Caenorhabditis elegans: one gene and its partner. The protein of the gene in region 2 purifies or fractionates together with the protein of the main gene of each other region. This does not show direct contact. Each region holds a gene or a part of one and is shown on either strand. Other genes may lie near its edges.

The links.
Region 1: the proteins of ndx-6 (region 2) and frh-1 fractionate together in Caenorhabditis elegans (co-fractionation; one large-scale study listed by BioGRID). This does not show direct contact.

The regions. Positions count from the first base shown.
Region 1 is NC_003280.10:5,915,332-5,919,181, reverse strand, and holds frh-1 (Frataxin, mitochondrial), read right to left. Parts: upstream 1,761-3,850; coding exon 1,550-1,760; intron 1,504-1,549; coding exon 1,407-1,503; intron 1,156-1,406; coding exon 1,053-1,155; 3' UTR 618-1,052; downstream 1-617. Other genes in the region: Tyrosine-protein phosphatase non-receptor type ptp-2, read right to left, coding at 1-221, 276-404, 451-470; cgt-3 (Ceramide glucosyltransferase 3), read right to left, coding at 2,534-2,701, 2,750-2,881, 2,925-3,248, 3,299-3,519, 3,574-3,809. UniProt on the Caenorhabditis elegans protein: Promotes the biosynthesis of heme as well as the assembly and repair of iron-sulfur clusters by delivering Fe(2+) to proteins involved in these pathways.
Region 2 is NC_003280.10:5,388,301-5,392,097, forward strand, and holds ndx-6 (Putative nudix hydrolase 6), read right to left. Parts: upstream 1,582-3,797; 5' UTR 1,538-1,581; coding exon 1,504-1,537; intron 1,456-1,503; coding exon 1,245-1,455; intron 1,199-1,244; coding exon 875-1,198; intron 831-874; coding exon 617-830; 3' UTR 529-616; downstream 1-528. Other genes in the region: rsp-4 (putative splicing factor, arginine/serine-rich 4), read right to left, coding at 127-264, 321-526; brap-2 (BRCA1-associated protein homolog 2), read right to left, coding at 2,137-2,214, 2,260-2,361, 2,412-2,840, 3,518-3,797. UniProt on the Caenorhabditis elegans protein: Probably mediates the hydrolysis of some nucleoside diphosphate derivatives.

The DNA of each region.
Region 1 (3,850 bases), 530 kb from region 2:
CTGCGCAAGCTTCCAGATGATATGGCACATAAACAGGTTTTTTCAGTTCAAGAAAGAGTCCATTCTTCTCCCTGAGTTTTTCTGGAAACTCCATGTAGAATTCGGCGAGTTCGGTGATGGAACCGAATTGATTTGGCGTAGTCCGTTCATCTTCGAAAATACTGAGCATGTCGCTTTCATACTTTGTCACCTTGATATGCAGAATTTTGTCTTCGGCGACTCTGAAAACGATTTCCGAAATTGTATTAATTTATTAGTGAATGACTACAACAAACCTGACAGAAATCGAGAAATTTTGCGGATTTGATTCGCTGTATCGAAGAAGAAAATCTCCATCTTCGCCATACTCTTTGAGCAATTCTTCGGCCTTTTCACCATTCACGCGGTAATAGAAGTTGTATTGTCTGAAAATTCGATTATGAACTAGTTAGAGTATATACACGATCTTACCGCAGCGCTAGGCGTGGCATTTGTTTGAAAAGTAGCAAAGCTCCAAGTAAAAATGACTTTTTTGTTGTAGATGGAGAAGAGTCGCCTAAATTTGAAAATTTTATGAGACGATATTAATCATGTTTACAGAAAGACAACGCAACCGCTTGAGATATCGGTTTAAAAATCGGAATAATACGAATTTATCAACTAATTAACATTTTAGAACATAAGGAACATAGAAGAACATAATAAATTTGGCACAAACGTTCAGAAATTGTAAAATTCTCATTTTGGAAATTATGCGAGAAAATTTGGTTATCTAACGACACTCCGAAATAACGAACCGCGCGTTGTTTAACGTAAATCTAGAACGGAGACTCTACGGAAAAGTTTTCGTGAATCTGAATCCGTCAGCACTTTTTGATAATAATCAGAGATTTTTCCACAGTTTCATTTTCATTAAACGTATAAAAAACGCTTGGGCAAGAAAAACTTTACCAGAAAAGTATCTAGACAATATATAACTAAGTTACAATACATGAGAAAACATGATACATCAAATATGCAAGAAAAAGAGAAAAATCGAGAGAGAATAGAAATCACATGATATGAAATCCGGATTAGACATGTCGCGAGAAATCGATTCGGTCATCGGCCAGAATCTTTCGGAATTCTCTGTTTAGAAGCGAGTCAAGTTGTTCACCATCGTGTGCATAAGTCCATCTGAAATCAAAAAGCGTTAATTTGTGCTCATCCTCTCCGCCTCTTTTCTGCACTTTACGCAATAAGACACTTGCATGTTACTCATCTCGGCTTAATCTCATTTGTCTGCAAACTGATATATATCTAAATCTTCTCTTTTGATGTTCGTGAAACCTTTCGTTACACGATCATCTTGATCATATTCGGTCTAGTGGAGTTGTGCTTTTGATCAAGATATACAATTTAAATAATGAAAATGTGTTTTTACTAACTTTCCCTCCTCTTCTAAATCATATCTTTTCGGACCAGACATCGGACTGGACAACCAAATTTGCTTATTTGGTGATTGTTTGTTAATAACATACGTTCCTGAAATTAAGTAATTAATTTAAGAAATACAAGAACCATCTCGTACCAACAGATTTCGATACATTAACAGTCAAAACTCCCATTGCATGAGATACATCAAATTGTTCGGAAACCGGAAATGAATCGGCAATTTGATCGAAATAGTCTGATAATCTTTCTAATGTTGAATCAGCTGCTGTTTCGTACTCATTTTGACTGAAAATCCGGGACGAAAATGAGCGACGTACAAAATTGTTTCGTAGAATAGTGGAGAGCATCTGAAAACTTTGTTATTCTGAATATTACTCATATGCGAAATTATGTGGTATTTGAGCCGAAAAAAAGGTCTCGACACGACAAATGTTATTAAATGCAAAAAGGTGTGTGCCTTCAAAGAGTACTGTAGTTTCAAACTTATGTTGCTGCAGAATTTTTATCGAATTTTTTCCAACGATTTTTCAAAAGTTGAGCGTTTGTATTGTTATATGTGAGTTTTTAGGATGAATAAATGTATTTTTGTCGAAAATATGAAAAAAAAAATGATGACAATCTGGCAGGAACATAAGTTTGAAATTACAGTACTCTTAAAAGGCGCATAGCTTTTTGCATTTAATGTTAAAAATTTAATGATGTGTCGTCGAGACCGGGTACCGTACTTTTAGAGGAAACATCGCAAAATTTCGCATCAGGGTAATAGTATTGTTCGATATTTGTATTTATGGTGATATAAATTACATAGTTGGAATTTTTCTGAACCTGAGCTTCATATAATCGTAAAATTAAGGAAATCGAATCTGAATATTTTATTAGGCCATCGTGTATGTATTAATAGCACAGAAGATGGTATTTCAGATGTCACCCGTAATGTGAGACAGTTAGCATAGGAGAGTGAAGCTAACAATGTAACTGATGGAGAGACAACAACCCGGACTTTAAAGATTCAGATGATGTAGTGAGAGGATTTACGATAATGTTGAGAAACAGAATCACAGACAAGAATGATGAATTTGGGGTTAGTGAAATTTGGAAATAAAATGAATAAATGAAACAATCAACATTTTGGTGGAAGTATCTGTCCACCCCATGCCAAATGAAAAACATTGTTTCGCCATTGAATTGTTGGTTGTAAAAGAGCTTTGATAAAGACGAAAGGAGCGGTGAGCTCACGCAAAAGCCAAATGAGCATAAATTGAAGTGGAGAGAAGCTCAATTTGCCATTCTGAAATTTGAAAAATGTTGATGTATATTTTATTAGAAAATATATTACCTGCATACTGTTCATTAGCGAGTAATCCATACTGAACCAGTAGATAGTATGAAGTATCAATATTGGCATTATATTCAATCCTACCAAATGATTCAAACTGAATGCCATGATTAAACCAGACGGGAAGCAATCCTATAATATTGGAGATTTAAAAAAAAGTGAATTTTGGAATTACCTGCAATGGCTCAACGAGAAGAATGTGTGGCAACATGGCAATCCTTAACTTGACCCATCTGCAAATTCTATCGAGAAATGACGAAACCGATACTGATGATGAGTTCTGGAGAGCTGGGTGAGATGATATTGCAGATTTGTAACCACGATTTGCGAGCTCTCTTCCGAAAAAGTAGTCCTCTGCAAGATATCCTCCAAAATTAGAAATGCCACCACATTCATCAAGTGCTTCTTTCTTCATCATTGATGACATTCCCGTGGAACAGACAAAGTCCATACAATTTCCAGCTAGGTATATACGTCCATGAGAAGTTCCAAAATACATCTAAAATTTAGAGCTCTTATAGATTTCTTTCTAAGGAATCCATGTTCTACCTGCTCAAAAGCCGCATCGAAACCTTCTCGATCCTTACAATACGGTGTCTGTGTCACTAATGCCATTTTCTCATGACTCATCATCGTTGTGGCCATATCCAAAACACCATCTGAACGCATAAATATTCCACTGTCACTAACTAATATCAGCGGATAAAGTGCAGAACGATACGCAGGCATCATGTTGTTGATCTTTGGATTCAGTCCAACGGTTTCACCTCCTTAAAAAAATAAAAGATTTTAAGAAAAATGTTCCAGAAAAGCAGTTGACCTACCAAAGAAAAGTTTCGCATCAACCTTCGGATATTTCTTCATGAGACACTTCACAACTTCCACAGCTTCATCATCTGAAGAGTTGAAACAGAACAAAAGTTCATATTTGTGATATTGTGTGGTGAAAAATGATTCTATATTCTCGTATAAATTATTATCTTTTCCAACAATTGGTTTAATTATAGAAACTCCAGGAAGCGATGAATCTTCTTTCACTTTGTGATGTAATCGATATTTTCTGCAAATCTCAAAAAACTTAAAACCCCGCTTTCTCAGACA
Region 2 (3,797 bases):
AGCTCAGCTCAGCAACATCTGGCTCTGCTGCTGTTCTATAAATAAGTCAGGAAGACAAGGGTTCCATTAAGTCTCGCGCCTAATTTTTGAGCACAACTACAAGGGGAATCAACTGAGTATACTAACCTTCTACGTCCACCACCACCTCCACGGCCTCCTCTCTCATCCGATGGTCGATCATACTTTGCAAGAGTCACACGTAACTCGCGTCCATCAACCAACTTTCCGTCTGTGCGGTCCAATGCGTGCTCAGCATCACGACGTCTAAAATAATATTGATTTTCTGATGTTTTCTCTCCAATAGTTCCAATTTAACTTACTCATAAAATCTAACGAATCCGAATCCTTTCGATTGGCGAGAGTACTTGTCCCTTGGAATGTGAACATCTCCAATGTCTCCGTATCGCTCAAAAGTTCGACGCAAATCGTTGGGCGTTGTTTGGTACGACAAGTTGTCGATTTTCAGCGAAGTTAGACCATTGATATCCGGTGCGGCACGACGATCACCACCTCCTCCACGGCTCATTTCTGAAATGAAAATCATTTATGAATTGAATATAGCTAACAGAAACGCGAAAATAAGAGGAGAACATGAGAAAAGAGAGACATGTGGTAGTTAATGAGAATGAGATTCTTTTAGAAGATCAATAAAATGAGAATGAGAAGCGTAAAGTGGCTCATTTGAATTAACTGCAATCCAGCGTAAAGCTTTAGCATCATCTCCTGCTTGAAGAGCCACATTTTTCAGAAGGCCTTTTGAATCATGAAAATTGAAAACAACAGTCTCCATCCATGCGTTATCAGTGTTACGTGGGTCATCAACGTAACCTCTGTAAATGAAACATTGAGTGGGATAAAAGAGCTGTGAATGCACCTGTATAACTCTTTACCATTATTCCACAATTCATCAAGATTTTCAGAATCGACAATTCCATGCATTGCTTCTTCTGCGAATTCGCGCCGTAGAGTTTGTGAAACATGCTCTCCAGCATCCACCATTCCTCCAGGAATTGCCCACTCGCCATTGTCATGACGTTGAACTGCAACAAACTCCAAATCACCATTGTCGTTTGTTCTAGAAACGATCGGATCTGCTGCGTGGTTTGGACCCCAACGACCAAGCAAACCACGACCAGAAAGTCCCGTACGTCCAATAGGATTTAGTGGGCGAAGGGTGACAGGATCAAATGAGTACTGACTGGAAGGTTTCTTGATTGATTGAGTATATACACTCATAAACGCACCAAACATATGACACTCTATTGATTTTCCCATCGATCGCATTCCAAGACGGTTGGAACGTTTTCTCATCGATTTCTGGGTCTGCCCAAACAGCTCCATCAACTTTTGGATCGGTGTGAGCCGGAGGATTGTATCCTGACCATTCTTGGCTCCATTTGACAAGATTATCAGGCACATTTAGTCGGTGAATGTTACTACCAAGGTAAACCGTATCTAGAGGTTAAATTTGTATTTAATGTTAGATTAATACATTGTTTATACCGATATTTCTGCATTTTTGATGAACGAAACTCATTATCGGACGACACAAAAGATGATTCCAAATTGTCATAAATTGCCCAAAAATCGATAATCTTGGTTAGTGAGTGTAAAAATGCGGCAGAAAACTTTTGAATTAGAGAAATACGAAGAGTTTCGAGAAATTATGAGAGCAGTGATATTAAAAGTTGATGGAAATCTTGAAAAAAAGAGAAAATAATTTGTAAAAGATAAGTATCGAGAAAAATCGAAGGAAACAAGAATGATGGCCAGCGGAGACGTTTAAAACGAAGTGTGCGTTCTTAGTGAACACAAGAGTTGCGTCAGCACCGAAAATGTGTCAGCAAGGAAAGAGGAGGGAATTCGAAAAATAGTTTTTGACTCGTCGTTTAATAACGATTGAAAACATGGTACATAATATGAAACCAAAAGACACTCGAACGATATCATTTTATTCATAAGCGAATGCATTAAATAAACTACCGGCTGCATACATATATACCGCACAAAATTCGATGAGATACGCGAAAGAAAGCGAATAAATATTCAAGTGAGACTAACCATATATGAAAAGACTATTAAAGAAATGTTCAATATGCAAAAATTAAATAGGACATGGATCTCCTGAGATGCCAACTACTTTTTCTTCTTTCTGTTCAATTTTCTCGACGAGGAGGACGACGAATCGAGTTCAACTTGACTTTCAGTTATTTCCTGTAAATTAAACATTTTTATTGTGGCGAGCATTGGTTAACCAACCTCTTGAGTTATTTTTCCAGCATCCAACTGCTCTTTCAGCTTATTTTGAGTTTCAAAATGCATCAAAAGATCATTGACTTGTGACTGAAGATCTTCGATTTTCTGAAAAGAAAAGCTTTCAAGAGATCAAGGGAATCTATTTAGACGAATACCTTTTCATACTCGGTTCGAGCAGTTTTCTGACTTTCAATAAGCTTTTCCACTTGACCTTTCCACACTTGCTGATCTTTTCTCAACATTTGATTTATTTCACGTTCATCTTTCAACTCATTTGCAAGCTTATTCACTTTTTCATTTGTCTGCGTTGCTCGTTTCTCTGCCACTTTTCTCGCCGTCACAGTATCATCTAAATCTCCTTTTAATGATTTCAATTCAGTTGATCGTTCCGTCAGTTGATGCTCGAGATTCTCTACTTGAGCATAAGCAGTTTTCTCCATTTTTGACATCGTTTGCTCCATATCGTGACGTAGACCTTCAAAATATTTCCGTTGATCCTCAAGTTGACTGGTCAGGAGTAGAGTGTATTCGAGTTTGATTCCCTCAAGCTTGTCTCCACCCTTTTGGTTTTTGTCATCAAAGCTCTGCAATTTTCAACATTTTTAGGGAATTTGAGTGAAGACTAAACATTCTGGTCTATTTAGTCAGAATACTTGAAAACAAAATTTTAAATGAATTTATAAATTTTCTGTATAGAATGAAAAGGCCACAAAACAGTGCTGGACTTTTTTTTTGCTTTTTTTTCTGTTTTTCAAAGGTATTTTTTCACGAAAAAAAAAAAATTTTGCTTTATGATAGCAAAAATAAAGTAAAAAATCAAACACTTTGGATTTCAAACACTTTTAGAACATGATCATACTTATTATTCAACGATAAAGGGGAAAATGAATATATTACAGGATTTTAGCACTTATTCCTAGGCAGAACAAAAGTATTTGTGTGATAATTAATTTGAAACGCATTTACAGACGCATATATATATATATATATATTTGTTTTCAAACAAAAACCAATAGAATTCAATGAGAAAACCCGAAAAATTGCATCCAAAAAAATTAATTGATTCATTGCCCGAGAGGAGTACACGGCCGAGAATTTTCAAAACTAATTAGTGCGCGAAATTCAAATTAGTTATACGAAAAGGTTGATTTTCGGCACTTTGAAGCCTCAAAACATTCTTTTTTTTTGTTTCCACCAGTTTTTTAACAAAAAATTATTGTTTTTAAATCAACAATTTTTTTTTGGTCCAGTATGAACATACCGCATTCGATTCTCTCTGATACTCGACAAGTTTCCCATCAGCTCCATTTTCAATCAATCTATGCACGTAATTGTCTCCAGCATAATCCCAGACTCGTTCTCCTCCAACTTTCAAACTATAAGTATGTGAAGTGAGCTCCCAATGTCGTTGTGCATGTTGTTCTGCGTATCTTCCACAACCTATATTTCCACAAATTAGACAAATCCATAGATCGTTGCTCATTCCACAATCATTACAACGTTGCTCTGCGACAACTTCTGGAGATTGAACATATCGACAG